Linked DNA regions of Caenorhabditis elegans. The protein of the gene in region 3 purifies or fractionates together with the protein of the main gene of each other region. This does not show direct contact. Each region holds a gene or a part of one and is shown on either strand. Other genes may lie near its edges.

What was found.
Region 1: the proteins of knl-1 (region 3) and kbp-2 purify together in Caenorhabditis elegans (affinity purification with mass spectrometry, with the first as the bait; 2 studies listed by BioGRID). This does not show direct contact.
Region 2: the proteins of knl-1 (region 3) and him-10 purify together in Caenorhabditis elegans (affinity purification with mass spectrometry; 2 studies listed by BioGRID, with this or other methods). This does not show direct contact.
Region 4: the proteins of knl-1 (region 3) and hcp-4 purify together in Caenorhabditis elegans (affinity purification with western blotting; 2 studies listed by BioGRID, with this or other methods). This does not show direct contact.

What each region holds. Positions count from the first base shown.
Region 1 is NC_003281.10:4,902,684-4,905,869, forward strand, and holds kbp-2 (Mediator of RNA polymerase II transcription subunit 21), read right to left. Parts: upstream 1,202-3,186; 5' UTR 1,188-1,201; coding exon 1,092-1,187; intron 1,045-1,091; coding exon 829-1,044; intron 781-828; coding exon 601-780; 3' UTR 501-600; downstream 1-500. Other genes in the region: tag-340 (START domain-containing protein), read left to right, coding at 1-122, 172-278; F26F4.8 (C2H2-type domain-containing protein), read right to left, coding at 1,369-1,444, 1,492-1,589, 1,636-1,755, 1,799-2,068, 2,118-2,232, 2,281-2,371, 2,418-2,520, 2,589-2,624.
Region 2 is NC_003281.10:5,801,448-5,805,660, forward strand, and holds him-10 (Kinetochore protein Nuf2 homolog), read left to right. Parts: upstream 1-1,812; 5' UTR 1,813-1,817; coding exon 1,818-1,922; intron 1,923-1,973; coding exon 1,974-2,128; intron 2,129-2,174; coding exon 2,175-2,726; intron 2,727-2,782; coding exon 2,783-3,088; intron 3,089-3,145; coding exon 3,146-3,203; intron 3,204-3,250; coding exon 3,251-3,547; 3' UTR 3,548-3,665; downstream 3,666-4,213. Other genes in the region: polq-1 (DNA polymerase theta), read right to left, coding at 369-1,013, 1,064-1,300, 1,353-1,476, 1,527-1,595; R12B2.3 (Ras-associating domain-containing protein), read left to right, coding at 4,163-4,167. UniProt on the Caenorhabditis elegans protein: Acts as a component of the essential kinetochore-associated NDC80 complex, which is required for chromosome segregation in mitosis and meiosis and spindle checkpoint activity.
Region 3 is NC_003281.10:8,248,838-8,254,448, forward strand, and holds knl-1 (Outer kinetochore KNL1 complex subunit knl-1), read left to right. Parts: upstream 1-1,794; 5' UTR 1,795-1,798; coding exon 1,799-1,944; intron 1,945-1,991; coding exon 1,992-2,081; intron 2,082-2,133; coding exon 2,134-2,539; intron 2,540-2,584; coding exon 2,585-3,310; intron 3,311-3,354; coding exon 3,355-3,898; intron 3,899-3,942; coding exon 3,943-4,283; intron 4,284-4,326; coding exon 4,327-5,106; downstream 5,107-5,611. Other genes in the region: C02F5.10 (uncharacterized protein), read right to left, coding at 1-157, 205-299, 506-635; C02F5.2 (DUF5356 domain-containing protein), read left to right, coding at 800-854, 905-1,011, 1,055-1,145, 1,192-1,325. UniProt on the Caenorhabditis elegans protein: Acts as a component of the outer kinetochore KNL1 complex that serves as a docking point for spindle assembly checkpoint components and mediates microtubule-kinetochore interactions.
Region 4 is NC_003279.8:3,862,328-3,867,511, reverse strand, and holds hcp-4 (HoloCentric chromosome binding Protein), read left to right. Parts: upstream 1-1,573; 5' UTR 1,574-1,574; coding exon 1,575-1,619; intron 1,620-1,724; coding exon 1,725-1,931; intron 1,932-1,980; coding exon 1,981-2,187; intron 2,188-2,236; coding exon 2,237-2,359; intron 2,360-2,411; coding exon 2,412-3,397; intron 3,398-3,449; coding exon 3,450-4,009; intron 4,010-4,054; coding exon 4,055-4,204; intron 4,205-4,254; coding exon 4,255-4,577; 3' UTR 4,578-4,679; downstream 4,680-5,184. Other genes in the region: guk-1 (guanylate kinase), read left to right, coding at 4,960-5,014.

The DNA.
Region 1 (3,186 bases), 3.3 Mb from region 3:
ATGCCCAAACAATGGAAATCCGAAAATCGTACGAGGACACAATTTCCCATCCATGATTCGAACATTGAAAGATGAAGCAGGAGTAACTTATTTCGAATGGCTCATGAAGACTGATCTCAAAGGTATGAAAACTAAAACTTTATCAATTTTTCTATTCATTATATTTTTCAGGTGGCCTTCCACGCCGTCTTGTTCACTCGGGAATGGTCAATTACTTCAGTGAGCACGTGAAACGGATGAATGAGTTCGCAGAAACCCATTATCATTGTCCTCCTTGAGATTCAACACAAAATTATATTTTATACCTTGAATGTGATTTACTTTTTTTTTTCTGTAAGTATCTGTCCCCTATTTCCCATCGCTAGATATTCCTGCTAACCTTTATCATGACTAATCACTTTTTAAAGTTTCATACCTCCTTGCCCTTTCTGAATTTTCCCCTCACAATTCCAAACCAATATGAATATTAATTATTCCGAAAGATGTTTTTTTTGAAGAGAAAGTTTTATTTTAGAGACAAACAAAAGTTCAGAAAAATTTGGTAAATAGGAAAAGAAAGATTCAGTTAAATTAAGTGAAGGTTATATTAATATCAAAATTCTACAGCTTTTGCTGTTGTGACTCGACAATTGTTGCAAGCTCCTTGAGCACCTGCTTACGACGAGCTATTTCATCTTCTTCAGCTTTCAGTTCTTTTTCAATCTTTTCGATTTCAGCATCTGCTTCAGTGAGCATTTTCTCGGCAGTTTCGGAGAGGTGCAATGCGACATCTCGTTTTGCCTAAAACGATGAAAATGTGTATATTAATATTAAAATCAATATACAAACATTGACTGGATTATATCCCATTTCTCTTCCGAGTTGCTTATTTAATTCTTCAGATTCTCTCGTCAATTGTTCCATATCATCGAAAAGTTCGTAAACACTATTTTCTTTAATCATTTGATCAGTCTTCTCCAAAACTTTTTGTTGTGTTGATTTCGCCATTCGAGCCATCACAGCATCCACTGCAGCTTTATCCATGTTGAGTTTTCTATGAGAACTCTGAAAATTTTAGTTCTGGATAAAACGTGCAAAAATATCAAGCTTACCATTTTCCACAAATCCTGGGACTCTAACAATGATTTTGTGAATATTTCCAGAGTTGTGTCCAGCATTTGATTCAAGACTTCTTTTCTTTGCGACATGATATTGATTTTATCTAAAACGCGGAAAACTTACAAATACACTTAACAAGAAACTATGAAACGAAATTAAACAAGAAGTATTTTAAAAGTTATGGAACTTCACGCAGGAATAAATTTGAGCAGAAATACAAGTATTATGCATATTTATTTGTTAAATAAAATAAAGGAACATGAAATAGAACTATTCATCGCTTTCGTTTTCTCCTCCAAAACCAATTGTATGTGCGAAGTAGTTTAGATGAAGAGCGAACGCTTGTCTGTAATTATTACTGATCTTCAGAGCAAAATCTTCGAAATAGCCTACCGATTCTCAAACTTTCGGCCGCATCCAGAACATTTGAACGGATCGTCAATTTCGTGATATCCAATGTGCGTCATCCAGAGGATTGCGTCGGTGAAACTCTGTGAAAAATTACGTTTTTAAGATTTTCCAGAGCAAAAACCATACCATCAAGCAATGAGTGCATTGGTATTTCTCGTTATCATTCAATGGGAATAATTCTGCAATCACATCCGATAGTTTCGCGATCATCTCCGAATTGGAAGCTGATGATACAGACATAGCCATCTGAAAATTCAAGTTTCAACCTCTATCATGCTATAAATCCAACCTGCAATTGCTTTAAAATCCCATCATCTTCGTCTGCTTCATAGATTTCTTCCTTGACTTCGATTTCTAAAGCATCTTGAACATCGAATTGCTTTGATTCTTCCTTTGCTCCAACTGAAGTTTTTCTTTCCTTCCGGCTTTGATTCTTTTTCATTCGAAGGAAATCTTTCTGCTTGATAATCATTTCCTCCGCATATTCTTTAAGTTCTCCATGCTTGAATGTGTGATGGAATAGCATTTTACGGAAGGATACTGAAACTTCGGAGCAATCCTGAAATGTTTTGATTAGTTCTGTTTCAATCTATCGATATTTTACTTACCTTGCACTTTATCGATACTGTACCATTCACATGATGAGCTGTATTCGCATGATTCTCGCCCTCTAACATGGTCTCAACGAGTTGATCACATCCTTCGGCACGACAAGGTAGAGTTCTGAACGAAACAGTTTTTCAAAAATTTCAAAATATTTCTTGCAATTACCCTTTGCTGATGTGGTCGAGTGCGTGGAAAAACAGAGTATCCGTTCGATTGAACATTTTGTCGCAGAAATAGCACTCCAACAATTTGTCATCTAAAAATAAATATTGGTTTCATAAATCTAATCGCCTGAAACTAACTGTGCACTTTGATATGACAACGAAGGGATCTTTCAGACGTGAAAAATCGATCACATTGTTTACATTTAACTTTTACATCGGGGGAAGTTGTATTGGCATTCACCTGAAACGTTTTGATTATGATACTTAAAAGTAAAAATATAAAAGCTTTGAATAAATATTAATAATTACCTCGAGAATCGCGGATTCTTCCGGAAGGCCTTCCATTTAACACTGAATAATGATTCACCGTCACCGTCCATATCATCAATCTTACACGTCTCCATGATTATGAGTTGTCAAAAGGTCACGGGAATATTTGACAAGAAAAACGTTTGCGTGTCCTCATTCTTTCTTTTTCAAAACGCGTCGACTGCCGCCAAAAACGGCATTTGGCCTAGCTTTCCGAGAGACTCGGCCACGAATTGGGTACCTATCAAAAACTGATCGATTTGCATAATATTGGATCATAAATTGTAATTAGTTTCAATAAATACAATGCACAATGATATGTTTATTTGTTTTAATACAATTTCTTTTTGAAAATTGGTTTGTTATTCCGTTCAGAATCGAGTAAAGTGCGTGGCCTAGAAATTCCCGTTTTCTTTTGCCAAAATAATTGGCAGAGGTCTGCAGAGGTGCACTCAAAACCTGAACAAAGAGCAAGGAAAAGAGCAGCTGTCATTGACATACACCCGTTCATTCACAATATTTCATAACACAATATACACTCATATATATTTTATACACCTTTAATGCACATAGAATTACAAAGTTAGATATGAATCTC
Region 2 (4,213 bases), 2.4 Mb from region 3:
GAACCTTTTATCTTATTTCATCAATAAGAAAAAAGAAAACAAAAATTTAATATTCTTCAGCTAAAAAGGGCCAAAATTGTATGCTATTATTCGAAAAATCGACATTTTGGAATCTCGAAAAAAAAACCGAAAAATTTTCGCTTTTCGATTTAAAAAAAAGGGAAGAGCGGGATTAGCAAACAACTGGAAATTCTTGAGTGAATAGTATTTTTTGAAAGTTTAAAGTAAATTTTTATCAACAAATCTTCACCCTAAATGAAAATTATTGTTTGATTTAATTTTTTCCCCAAAAATATTTCAACAAACATTTTGCTTTTAATTTCTTCCGATATTTCGGTTGACCACAATTAAAATTTTAAAACACTCACCTGAAGCCAAAGTACTTGTAGCCACAAGAATAACAATATTTTTCTCCCGAAATCCTAGTTCAATGCATTCTCTTTCCTCCATCGTCAATCCAGCATGATGATATGCTACTCCCCATGCAAGTGTTGACATAACATTCCGATCCTTGCAACCATTCCGTTCCAATCCATGCTTTATAAATAATAGTCCATTGGCTCGTTCTTTTAATATTTCCAACAATGAGCTGTCGGTTTTATTGATCTCATGGAATCTCGACGCAATATTCAAAGCAGTCTTCTCGGCATCAAGTTTCGAAGAAATCATTACCAAAGTCTGAGAATTGCGGCGAAAACTCTCTTCGGTAAGCAATATTAATGGATCTTCAGAGAATTCTCTTAGAACTTTGTTATCTCCAGATTTCCTCAACTCCGAACCAATTACAATATGATTTTGTAGAACAATTGGTCGAAATCTTGCTTCGAAAACTTTCGCACCGTCCAGCCATTTGCCTATTCGATAAAGTTCTGGAATAGTTGCACTCATTCCGATAATTCTAACTTTTTCCAGTGCAGATTGGTTCCAGAGCAAAACTTTCGAGAGCATGTGCTCAATGTGTGCACCACGAGACGAATCGAAAACCATGTGCATTTCATCAACGACTATCATTCCTGAAAGCTACTTTTTGTGAAAATTTTAAATTAAAATCGATTTATCTAACCAATTTCCTCAAACCAATCTTCTGATAATGCTCGATTTGTCAAACTTGCTGCTTTTTCGATGGTACAAACTGCCCCAAGCCACTCATTTGGATTTGAGGCCTGTGGACCAATGAAGCCACAGACAGAAATGTCATCTCGTCTCCAACACCGTTGAATTTGATGAAGTTTCTCTCGAGCCACGGAGATATAAGGAAGTACGAAGAGTACCTTTCTACCAGTTGAAGCGACTTTCCATGCTGAAAATTACAGTTTTTAAACATTTATTCTTTAAACCAGATAAAATAATACATAAAAGTTCAGCTACAATGCTTTTCCCAGCACTTGTTGGCGCACTGAATATCAAGTGTTGATCTTCAAATTGTCTTGCCTCATTCAACACATCAATCTGCCAATCGAACAGCGCTTTGATGTTCTGAAATTAAAAAAATTTTGTCCCTATTTCATCACAGCGATTTATGTTACCTGCTCTGCGTAATAATCGATGATTTTTGAAGAAACCCATTCTGGAAATCTACAGGAAGCCTCGTCCATCTTGTTTCATACTAAAAACTCTGATTTCAGACTGAAAAACATGTTTTTTTCAGCGAAGAAAACTAAAATTTGTTTGTGGCCGCGGTGGCCTAGTTTTCACGGCCGAGAAATGTCACATGTTTTGGCGCGCTCTTCGGCGAATTCAAATAAACTTTTTTGTTTTTAACAATTTCTAACTTTATTTTTGTGTTTTTAGAACTGAAATTCCATTTTTCAGGAGAAATGTCAAACGTTGTACTAATTGTGTATGATCCGCGGATGATTTCAAAGTATCTTGGTCAAAAATTGCATATGGGCCTTGTCGCCGATGACATTATCAAGCCAACCGTAAGTTTGAACAGAATATTGAATTCATCAGCACAAATAACCCGATTTCAGGCAGAAATAGCGCAACAAATATTTGCTAATTTTGTGAGGCTTGTGTTAAATGTGTCGGAAAGCTCGCTGACGACCCTTCCGCTGTCCGCCAACTGTGATTATGATCCAGAATTGCATAAAAAGAGCATTCCTATCATTATTCTCTTCCAATGCATGTAAGATTTTAATTTTAATGTTAGATTTGCTGAAATATTTTTTCAGGAAAGCATTTATCAAAGATAATTCTGGCAACAAGCTGGACTTGACGATGTGCGATCTCGTGACACCTGCAAAACACGAACATCGATTCAGAAAGCTGACAAGTTTTCTTGTAGATTTTCTGAAACTTCACGAATTGGCCACTCCAGCGTTCAATGAAATTAGCGAAGAGTTCAGTGATCGAAAGTTCGAAATGGAAAAGATTCGGGAAGAGTTGTTAGAAGCCGAGAAGAAGAAAAATGATCTTCTCGCGAAACAAAGCATAAGAAAACGTCATGAGCATGAATTAATCAACGAACAGAGCAATGCGAAGGCAGAACTTAAAAATGTTGTGAACGAATATACCGAAACTCGTCAAATTAATGAAGAACTCGACAAGCAGAAAGAAGAAGCTATTCTGCACATTCAAGCCCTCGAAAAGGAAATGCTAACTGGTAAAAAGACAATTGAGCATTTGAATGAAGAAGTTCTGACATCGCCGGAACAGCTGAAACAAGAAATGGAGGAAAGGAAACGTCACATTGAAGAGCTCCGCGATTGTCTTGAATCATCAAAGTACTGATATATCTTCAGTCTCTCCAAAAATTCAAAATAAAAGTAATTATTTTCAGAAAAGGCCTTCAAGCAAAACTCGAGGCTCGTGAAATTTGCATCAACTCGGAGAAGAACGTGCCAGTGATTATTGAGAAGATCCATCAGTGGACTGAAGTTCGAGAAGTTATCATTGACCTGATCGATGTTGAAAGTGAGAATCTTCGAAAGCTCAAGGAAATGGAGGAGCAATTGGATTTTATGATGAAGGAGATGGAAACGGCACAAAAGCGACTCGTCGAGCAGTCGGAGACTCATGAACAATTGCGTATAGAACACACGCAGAAAAGTGAAGAGCGTCAGCGTAGAATTGAGGAGATTACCGAGTGAGGAATTTATTTGATACTTTGAAAACATTTTTTTAAACGATGTAAATCTTTCAGGCAAATCGCAAATTTGAAAACTAGTCAGCCAGATGTGTCACAGGAAATTGCTAAAAAGGTTTTTGTCAGATCAATCTTCATAAAACTCACCAACATTTTTTTCAGAAGCAAGAACTCCTCGCTCTAAAAAACGCACACAGTGAGACGATTTCCCAAATCACCAACTCTTGCCAAGATGCTGTTGCAAAATTCGCAAAACTTAATGCAATGTTCAAAGAAACCCAGAAAGTAGCTTTTGAGAAGAACACTGCAGCTGCACGTGAAATGGAACGTCTAAAAAGCTCTCTTACCGGACGCCTTCTGAGTGATTACACATTCGGATCATCGACAATCGACGCCGGAGAGAACACGGAAAATTGTGATCCACAACCTAACGATTCGAGTTTTTCCGTTTTCAAATAGAATGACTCAACTCGAAAATTTCACTTCATTTGATCTCTATTCAATGTAAATGTTATGCTTTCTTCCATACCAATAACAAAATTTTAACTGAGTCTAAATAAATCATGTGGTCTTTATTTTCAAATGTTTTCTTTTCATTCCCAGGCTCTAGAAATTTCACACCAATTTACTTTTCAGGTAAGAATTCACTCAAGTGGTATTTACGGGGAGATTATGTGCCTCTGTTTTTAATTAAAAATAAAATTAGAAATTTTGAATTTTTTGCCTTGTATTTTTTTGTTTGCGTCTTTAAGACTACAGTAAGACAAAAAGTGGGCGTGGTTTCTTATTTTGGAGAAAGCTCAAACAGGGAATAAGTGAGAGTCGGAAGTTTTGAAACGTTTTTTGAAAAAAAAATTATCTTGAAATGAAAACTTTTCCAGAAATTTTAAACTTCTCTTCGCTCATTAGCTCTACAAGTTGGAATTGTCCTTCTGAATTGAATATTATCCTACCAAAATTCTAAATAAATTTAAATAAATCGTGCGGGCCTCGAGTTATTGCATTCAACATTGACATTTTTCGTTCATTTCTCAATTTTTGTATTGTATTTCTGAAAAATTCACTCTACAAATTATGCAGTAAGCTTTTTCAAATAATGTTCTTTTCAGATTTTATAATTTTCAG
Region 3 (5,611 bases):
CAATTATCTCACTGAAAATACGACTCATCATTTGAGCCAGCTTATCTGGCCGTTCGTCAATGATTGGAATGACAGGAGGCATTGCTGCTCTGAACTTTTTGATTTTTTCAATGGTTTCTTTGGAACGATAAGGACCACTGAACACGGATACCTTGTTCTGAAATTGGATGATTAGAAGGATTTACTACAAATTTGAATATTTACTGGAGCATTTTTGACGTTCAGAAGTTCAGCTGAGAACGGTTCATCACTGGCATCCCACTCTCCTTCAGTGCATTCTGGCAGCTGTTCGCCCTTATCTGGAAATTAAACTTTGTATTGTCCAGATGCGAAAACTGTAAAATAGCTTGGAGTTGGGTTACTGTAGTCCTTAAAGCCATACGCCTGTTTTCTAACTAAAAACGCTGCCTAAAAATATTTCGGTCGTGTCGAGACCGGGCACCGTACTTCTCAGCGTAAACTAACAAAATTTCGCATCTGTGTAATATTGAAATTTCATCCTTACCATCATCAGTAATTTGAATCTTCGGCAACTGTCGAATAGATTGCTGAACACTTGGTGCTGGTAGTTCCTCTTCTTTTTCGTCTTTTTTATCTTCTTTCTTTTCTTCTTTGCTTGGTTGCTGCTCTGCCATTTTTTGCCTCTTGATTTTGATTTTATCGTTTTGAAGAATAAAATTATTTCCTTTTCAAAAGATGTTTTTTCTTAATTAAAAGATTTCGAAAAAAAAATGCAATACACGTAATTTTGAGTTTTCACTTATGGAAATGTATTTTACAAATCATTTTCAAATACAAGATGGACAACAAAAAGAAGGAAGAAAATCCTAGTAAATCTGATACTTCTATAAGCCGTGAGTAATATATATAACTTTTCGGTTTTTTTTTTAATAAAAAGTTTTAGTTCCACCAAGCTCAACTGGAGAAGCGCTTCAAAATTATACAGAATCGGAATGGAACGCATCAGATGATCCGTATTCTGCAGAACTTCTCAATGTGAAAAAGAAGCCGGTAATTTTTATTTTTACGTAGATTTTCATTAAAACTTTTCCAGAATCGAGTTAATGTGTTCTCAGCAACTGAGAAGAACATGGAAACTATAATTGTCACTGAAGAATCTCCACCACAAACTCCATTGCCTTTAAGTTGAGAAATCACAAAATTCTGGGAACTTAATTTGTATTGGTTTAGAGCCTGTCGTAGAACACCACAATTTGGCTCGATTGATTCAGAAATCATGTCAATTGCTCTTGGATAAAACTACACCAGATGGAACAGAAGTGCAAATAAAATTAGAATTCCCTGACTGGAGAGATACCGCCTGATTCTCTATGTGTTGAATAAAGCTTAACGGTTAAAAAAAAATTAATTGAAATCTGCCTGAAAAAATATCTAAATACAGTACTCACAAGAGAAACTACGGATTTTGAGAATTCGAATTTCGTAGAAAATATTTTTGCAATGTGTATCAGCTGTAATGGTACATATATTTATTTATTAATATTGAATTTTATCTAATTTTTGAAACAATTGGTTTTTTAAACTATTAAAATTGTATTATACTGCCCCAAGTTAAGGAATTACTCGTAGTGTGCGTTCTACGGAACCGGTGGTGTGTCGAGTGCAGCTTCGCTCCATTGTACAAGTTCAATTTCAAACAGAGATTTGCCGCCAAGCAAAACTGCCTTCGTTTACTTTTCACTTTTTTACTTTTCCCATTTAACGAAGTTTATGCTGCCGTTGTTTTGTTATTTTTTTAATCATAATTTATTACCATTTTTAAAACATATTTACAGCCATGTCGATGGAGCCTCGTAAGAAGCGGAACTCGATTCTCAAGGTGCGGCAAGCCGTCGAAACCATCGAGGAAACCGTCATGAACAGTGGGCCTAGTTCCACAACAACTAATCGACGAGTCAGCTTTCATAACGTGAAGCATGTCAAGTCAGTTAGAGTCAGTGAATAATTTATCAATAAAATAATTATTTCAGGCAGTATGACAGGGACCATGGTAAAATTCTTGACGCCACACCAGTTAAGGAGAAGATTACTGACACTATTGGATCAGATGGTATTTTGACGTGAGTTCCATCCTTTAACGTGAAATAATGAATACGTAAAAATCTTTTTAAGACCACGTGGCGGAAACATGGATATTTCCGAATCTCCGGCCTGCACGTCCTCATTTCAAGTGTTCGGCGGTGGTAATCTCGATAAAACTATGGATATGTCTCTCGAAACAACTATCAACGAGAACAACGAAACGGCGAGATTGTTTGAAACCACAAGAGATCCAACACTATTATACGAAAAGATCGTCGAAACCACAACAAAAGTTACCGAGCGAATTGTTAGTATGCCACTGGATGATACCTTAGCAATGTTCAATACAACGAATCAAGAAGATAAGGATATGTCAGTTGATCGTTCAGTTCTTTTCACGATTCCCAAAGTTCCGAAGCATAACGCTACAATGAATAGAACTATACCGATGGACCTCGATGAATCAAAAGCAGCGGGCGGCCAGTGCGATGAAACGGTATGTTGAATTAATAGAAGGAACCAAATTATCTTAATTTTACAGATGAATGTGTTCAATTTCACAAACTTGGAAGCCGCTGAAATGGATACGAGTAAATTAGATGAAAATAATACCATGAATGCTATCCGGATTCCGATTAATTCAAACGTCATGCCTGTAGACATGGACATCACTGAACATCACACTTTAATTGAAGAAAAGAAAAATGATACATTCGGGCCAAGTCAACTGATGGACATTTCGGCGCCACAAGTTCAAGTTAATGATACTTTGGCCATTTTCAACAGTCCGAGAGACATCTGTAATAAGGGTTTGGGTGTTCCTCAGAATCTAATAAATATCGCCTCGAACGTCGTACCTGTGGACATGGACATCACTGATCAGGCCGTATTAAACGCGGAGAAGAAAAATGATCAATTCGAGACAAGTCAGCTTATGGACATTTCTATTCCGAAAGTTCTAGTAAATGACACTATGGCGATGTTCAACAGCCCGAAACACGTCAGTAAGAGCAGCATGGATCTCGAGAAAACGATTGAAGCCGCTGACAAATCAACGAAATACCCGAGTATCGCAGATGAGGTGGAAGATTTAGACATGGATATGGATATCACTGAACAACAACCATGTGAGGCTGGTAATCAGCAGAACGACGGCTTGCAACTTCAAAAGGAGGATTTAATGGACATTTCGGTGATTCGAGATTCACCTGCAGTAAACGACACCATGGCTGTGTTCCAGAGTCCTGCCAGAGTAAAGATCGGAGCGGTAAGTTTTAAGCACACTTTCCAATAAAAATGTATTTCTTTCAGAACAACTCGATCATTGATTCGCAGAAATCTATCGTGTTCGGTGACGAAATGAGCATTGACGAGACACAAAATGATGGAACCTTGACGTTGCCAAAGTCGAATGTAGAAGTGACTACAACTAATGATGTCTACACGTCTCTCGAGCGGCAAGAGGAAAATGCTTCAGAAAACGTATCCATGATAAACGAATCTTCTGTTCATTCGGAAATCGACAAAAAGTCGTTTATGCTCATCGAAGAAGAAAGGGCTTTTATGCACTCCTCCATGATTGATGTAGCACAAAAGTTGGAAGACGATGGTTCGTCGAAGACGCCAGTCATCCTTGCTTCACAGTCAGCTTCTCTTGCCACTAAAGAACCATCAGCCCTTCACAACTCGAGTGCAACTCTCAACAATTCGATGGAATTGGACAACAATACTCTTCTTAAAACTATGCAAATTACAACGTGTGAAGACATTAGCATGGTCCATGAGTCTATTGCTGTTGAACTGAACAGTAACAAAGAGCAGGAGCAATTCGGAGATGAGACTTTGCAGAAAAATGGTAAATTTCGTTTATTCAATAACTCTATTAAAAGTATGTTTTAGATACCTCGAATACTGGCGCGAATTTCACATTCCAAGGCCATAATGAAACATCGCAAATCATGAACAATGTCGACTCGGAAGCAGTGAACACGTCCAAGATTTCAACATATTCGGCTTTCAATTTGAGCATCAACCAGTCTATCTCTAAACGACGTCGATCTCTTCTGAATTCTGCTCGTGAATCTCCTCGTCGTGTTGCGTTGGAGAATTCTATAATGTCGATGAATGGGCAAACAATGGAAGCTCTGACAGAATATCGACAGAATAAAACTATGCAGACGAGTCAAGATTCGATGCCGAGTATGAGTTTGAACGATTCGGGAAGAGATATTCTCGCGATGGTAAGAATATCTCTTTGAGTATTGAATCGAAAATGTCTTTCAGAATACATCAGTCCGCTCTCCTCATCTGAATTCTTCAAAAACTGCTGCCCCAGGAACACCATCATTGATGTCACAAAATGTACAACTTCCACCTCCATCTCCTCAATTCGAAATGCCAGACTTCGATCCAGCTGTGGTCAACGTTGTATATTTAACATCTGAAGATCCGTCCACTGAACAACATCCAGAAGCTCTCAAATTTCAGCGTATTGTTGAAAACGAGAAAATGAAAGTACAACACGAGATTGATTCTCTGAATTCAACCAATCAACTTTCTGCTGAGAAAATTGATATGTTGAAGACTAAGGAGCTCTTGAAGTTTAGTCATGATGAGCGAGAAGCGATTATGATTGCAAGAAAAGACGCGGAAATCAAGTTTTTGGAGCTTCGTCTGAAATTTGCACTCGAGAAAAAAATTGAAAGTGACCAGGAAATTGCTGAACTAGAACAAGGAAATTCGAAAATGGCTGAGCAGCTAAGAGGTCTCGATAAGATGGCTGTCGTTCAAAAAGAACTAGAAAAGCTGAGAAGTCTTCCTCCATCACGCGAAGAGAGCGGGAAAATCCGAAAGGAGTGGATGGAGATGAAGCAATGGGAATTCGACCAGAAAATGAAAGCACTCCGAAATGTACGCTCAAACATGATTGCACTTCGTTCAGAGAAAAATGCTCTCGAAATGAAAGTCGCGGAAGAACACGAGAAGTTTGCCCAGAGGAACGATTTGAAGAAAAGTCGAATGCTGGTGTTCTCTAAGGCTGTTAAGAAAATTGTGAACTTCTAGTGAGTTTAATATCGAAAAATTAACAGTCAAAAATTATAATTTTAGATGCCGCCTTCACCCTTCCCTTGCATCAGGCCTACAATACTTCTGATGCTCATATAATTCTTTACCTAATGTGCCATATATTTTAGTTTTTTTTTCATCTAAAAATACCCATTGTGCATCAACCGCACTTGCTGTATTTCCTTCAAGATGTTTACCTTTTCCCCTATACATTTATGCCTCAGAGCAATCACAAAGTTATGTTTTTATTCCTAGTTCATTCTCAATCAATCTAAAGGAGACTTATGGTTTGAATAGTCAAATGAATAAATATTCCTTGTAACCAAATTTTTTTGTAGCCGTGTTTTTTTTTGTAAAATGAAGTTATTGTGCGTTTAAAAATCGGAGTTTAAAAAATCGGAGCTTCAGTCTCCTCTCTTAAAAATAATTTTAGCTTACTATTTACTACTGTAGTTCCAAATAGAATATACATAATAAGGCGGGTAGGCAAGAGTTTGACACC
Region 4 (5,184 bases), on a different chromosome or scaffold from region 3:
ATTTCAAAGATGGTCAAAACAGGAGAGAATGTTAAAATTGAGAAACAAACAAGACAACTATTTTGACGAGCGACGTGAGAAATGATAGAAGTTGTTGCTCGCCTTTCTCTTTTACACTGGAAACGCAGAGAGACGAGAGATCGAGCGAGAGACCGCGCATTTGGATGGGTTGAAACGAATCAAATAAAAAACACATGAAGAATAACCGAAAACACAAATATAAATGTTTGAAGATCATTTGAAATTAAGAAGGCATGAACAGTAGTGATAAAACAAACCATTTCTAGAAATTTGATCAAATATGCTGTCAAAACAACGTCACTCATATAGATAAAAGTAAAAAATCAAGAATCACAAATGTTTTAGGGAAAATCTGAATTAGAAAATTGGAAGAAATGAAAATAATACATTTTGTAAACATTTTTTCTCAATTTTGGATGAAATCGATGAAGGGAAACCTTCAAAATTGTAAGACAAAAAGGCAAAAACAAAAAATAAATGGAGACCCGAAGAACTCGGGGGATGTCCAATTGGGGGGATTACCAGGGGATTGGTCCCGCCCACAGAACCGTGGCTTGCAATACGCCCATTTCTGCAACTGCCGCACGGTTTTAAAATTATTTTTTCTTGTTAATTCTCGCTCTATTGAGAAAAATACAGTTTTAAAACCGTGCGGCATTTGCAGAAATGGGCGTATTGCAAACCACGGTTCTGTGGGTGAGGCCAATCCCCCGAGTTGGTAATCCCCCCAATTGGACATCCCCCGAGTTCTTCGGGTCTCAATAAATGTTCGAAAGTATAGAAAGCATGCAAAATTGCGTTAAGTTAAATGCTGTCTGTGCAAACATCTCCGCAAAAGTTCAAAATTTTTTGCGCGGGGGCGCGGGTCTCACCACGAATACCGTACACTTGATACCGACAGGCGGGAAAAATCATTTTTAGAGTCTGATTTTTAGGCTTTGATTTTATTCTATTTTTCTCTTTTCGTTTTAAAATTTTATTTTCTTGCGGATCATTAGAAAAAAAAATGAAAACGCGCTTGAAATAACTTTCGAAGAACTTGGTTGAAATCAATATGTACTTTAAAGAGCTACCGCTCAACTAATATTGCACGAATTTTATTTAGAAAACTACTAATAAATTCTGCGTTTAGTATTTTCTACTGTTAGGGACGTGGAGGCCTTGTTGAAATTCGTGAAAACAAGCATAAATAGATCTCGATGAAGTATTATTCATTTTTCTTTATTTCACCAAAGCGTATCGATTGGCCTCTCTTCAAAACTGCGTTTGACTTGGTTCGGCTATTATTTTATACAAAGTCTGTGTCTTTCTCCCTTAAAATCAATCAATATTTGGCTCATAATACCTTCTTGCCTTTTGAATGCGAAAAGAAAACAATAAATACGTTTCCTCTATCCTCTTCTCGTAGCCTTCCCCCTCTAACCAAACGCGCTCCGTTGTACAATGCAAAACCGCCACTTTCAAATTTAGCTCCCATTTGACATCGAGAAGTTTGCTTATATTTATTCACCTCTTAAAATTGTCTTTTTTTCAAAACGATATCAAATTGCAGAATGAATCGAAAACCGCGAACCCGCAGTACGATTGTTCCTGGTCGAGTAAGTGATTCAGATTTTTAAAATTCTTAACAAATGTTTGATTTTTACAAAAAAAAAGTTCCACATTATGGTAATTTGATTGCTTACTTATTTTGTTTATTTCAGAAAATGATCACTGAAATCGTTGCTCTTCGTGAGGCTGGCTTGGACGATACAAGACCGTCGTACTTGGAGGAACCAACAGTTATCGTCGATGAATCGATGATGAATGATAGTGCAAATTTGGAGGAGCGAGAATGGAGAAAACAGGGACTATCTGAGAAGCAGATGTTCGCTATTTTGGAGAAAAGGAAACAAACACAGCTTAACAATGTAAATTTCAGTCACAAAATCTTTTCAACACCTAATAAACTATATTCAGGCCAGAAAACGTCTCGAAAAGGAAATGTACGGAGCGAAAACCTTCAAAGAGTTGATTGCTTGTCGTGAATACTCCGAATGTGAGAGCGACAGCGAGAACACTGTGAATCAAAATGTCCGAAGCGCTTCGGTTTTTGCCATTCCGGCGCTTCCGAAACACATCAGTGAAAAGTCGATGATGGGCTCGCCAATTGCTAATTCCAGAGGGGTATGAGATGAATTTGCGTGTTCATAGTTTAATAAATCTATAATTTCAGAGTGGAAAAGCTGGATTAAGTTGTTCAACTCCCAAGAGCTCGAGTGATACGTCGATGAGGTCCTTGAGATCGCTTGATATTTCACATGTCGTCAATACCGATCGACTAGATGCTGAAAGAGTGGTAAAATTTGTTTGTTTTAAAGATATTTAAACTAACTTTTATATCGTTTCAGACTGTTCACACCAAGTCTGTCGTTATCCCAACCATTCTCGAGGAGAGAGAGTCAACACTCCAGAAAACTCTCACGATTGAGAAGAATCACAGCTCTCAGCTGCAAAAAACCTTCACTGTGGCTGAAGATGCTCCTGAAGAACTTCAGAAAACGGTGACAATCGAGAAGAATCAGAGCTCGGAAATGCAAAGAACGTTTACGGTGGCTAAAGATGCATCAAAAGAGCAATCACAGCTTCAAAGAACGGTAACGATCGAGAAGAATCAAAGCTCTCAGCTGCAAGGAAACTTCACGGTGGCTAAAGATGCTCCTGAAGAACTTCAGAAAACGGTGACGATCGAGAAGAATCAGAGCTCGGAAATGCAGGGAACGGTCACAGTGGCTAAAGATGCAGAACACTCCTCTCTACAGAAAACGTTCACAAAGCCGACCGAGAAAGATGAGTCATCACTTCAAAGAACTTTCAACGTAGCTAACAGAGATGAAAATAACGATTCAACTCTTCAAAAGACGTTTATTATTGAAGAAAGAGATGCATACGAGCAAGGAACCACGAGTGTTGGTGTGAAGCCTCCAGTACTGGCACAAAACACGATGGAAGGAGGAGAAAAACGGAGAACGTCGAAAGTCACTTCGGATGAGCGAGAACGACGTAATGCCAGTATTTCTAATCCTCTTCACAACAGTATGCTCGAAAAGGAAGAAATTCAATCGCCGGGAGCCAACTTCTTCAAACATCCCCGAAAAAAGATCAGACCGGTGGTTCAAACGCCGCCACGAATCAAGGCAACCAGCAGACTTAGTACTGAATCGAATAAGGAGCGAACGATTGAGATGGAATCGGTAGCTGAAGAACGAACAATGGAAGCGGATTCTATTGGCTCGTCTTATATCTCTCCAACATTCAATGCATCTCGAGTTTCGCCGGTTCCAGAAGTTCCAGAAAAAGTGGAGCCAATGCATGTATCGAAAGCCGCAACTCCAAAGTATGTTTTTTTTCGAATTGCGGAATATTATTCTTATTTCTCCATTTTCCAGATCGATTCGGCACACGGATAATTCTATCCGTAATATTGGACCCACCAACAATGTCGAATGTGCTCGGGCTGCACTGCTCTCAACACCGACTAGGATGGATATCGTTGATTCTGTGAATCGAGTGACCCCGGCACGACGATATGAACAGCCTACTTTCGCTTCACTCGTCAAAAGGATGAATATGAAAGATGCTAATCGTTTGCTTGAGGAAACTTCACGAAAGAATACGCCTGCGAAGACTACTGCTACAACTTCTTCAGCCGCTGTTCGCATGGTTTTGGAGGATGATGAGGAGGATCAGGCGACGGAGGTCATTGAAAAAAGATCTGAAAATGGTGGTGTGATTGTCGATGGTGAGGATGAGGCAGCAGATTCAAGCAATCGCTCCCTGAACATCGAATTGAATGCGCTGACTGTCAACGAAGAGCCTGCACATGATATCAGTGCCATTGATTTTCCAGAGGACGATACAAATGAAATGAGATCTTCTTCTGACGAAGAAGAAATGGAAGCACGTCCAGATCCAAGGAAAAAGTCGTCTAGAAGACTCGGGCTTCTTAGTGAGTGTTACTTCACAAATAACAACGTTTTTAAAACAATTTCAGGTGATTCGATTGCTCTTGGTCTTGCTAGTTCGTCGAGAAGACGCCCAAACGACACATTCGTTGACGAAACATGGTATCCTGAACCGAATTCTAAAGGAAACAGACGTCCGAGAACACACAGGGGTATGAAACTGAAAGAGCATCAACTCAGTGAGTTTTAATTAATTAATGCAATCATTCGAAACTTTAAACATTTTCAGTGAAGCCAGAAGATGCTCCAGACGGTGTCCGAAGATCGACGCGTGTCCGCGTGAAGCCTGTTCGTTCGTGGCTTGGAGAACAACCGGTTTATGTCAATTCGCCGATTAGTGGCTGCAAGCGATTGACTGGTGTGACGGCCGTTGTCATCAAGGATCCGCGTTTGTGCTATTACAGAACTGCTGACGTCAGAACAGCAACCGAGCGAGAGCTGAAAGATAAGGCCAACAAAAGGGCTTTGGCGCAGGAAAAGAAGCAACAAAGACAGAATGCAAGAAGTGGGCGACGTCACGATAGTGACGACGATGAAGAAGATGATATGTGAAGAAATAACTATTGCTCCACTATTTAGCAATGTCAAAAAACCCATCTAATCCCAATACCTGTAAATAATGCAATTTTAAAGGGAATAAAGTTTGAATCTGTCAATCCTTTTTTATGTTTAGTTTATATCTGGTGAATTGTTCCAATAAATTTTATTTATTTTTCTTTAATTTGCGCGACATCCTCCATATGCCTAGCAAAAATTCAGATTAGCGATTTTCAATTTGCTCTAATGGGTTGTATATCCGGCTGAGCCACACACACACATACACATATTTATCACTAAGTCGTCGTCATAAGCGTGATATATACCGGATATATAAGATTTGGATATTTACGAAGAGGCGAGGGGTATAAATAAGCGACGGCCCGTTGAGGTATTCATGCACGCCACCTCCCGTGTCGCCTGGTTTTGGCGGCCGTCCTGTCAATCGTTTAGTAAGTCTTTTTTGCGCGCTTTTCCAGAAAAAAATCAGCTTTTCGTTTTGAAATGTTGTCACTTTACAAGATTTTTCCATGTATTCTAAGATTCTTCTTAAAGGCGCACGGATTTATTCAGATGGGTCTCGGCGCGCAAAAAAGTTTATGGTAGTCTTCTGAGAATTCTT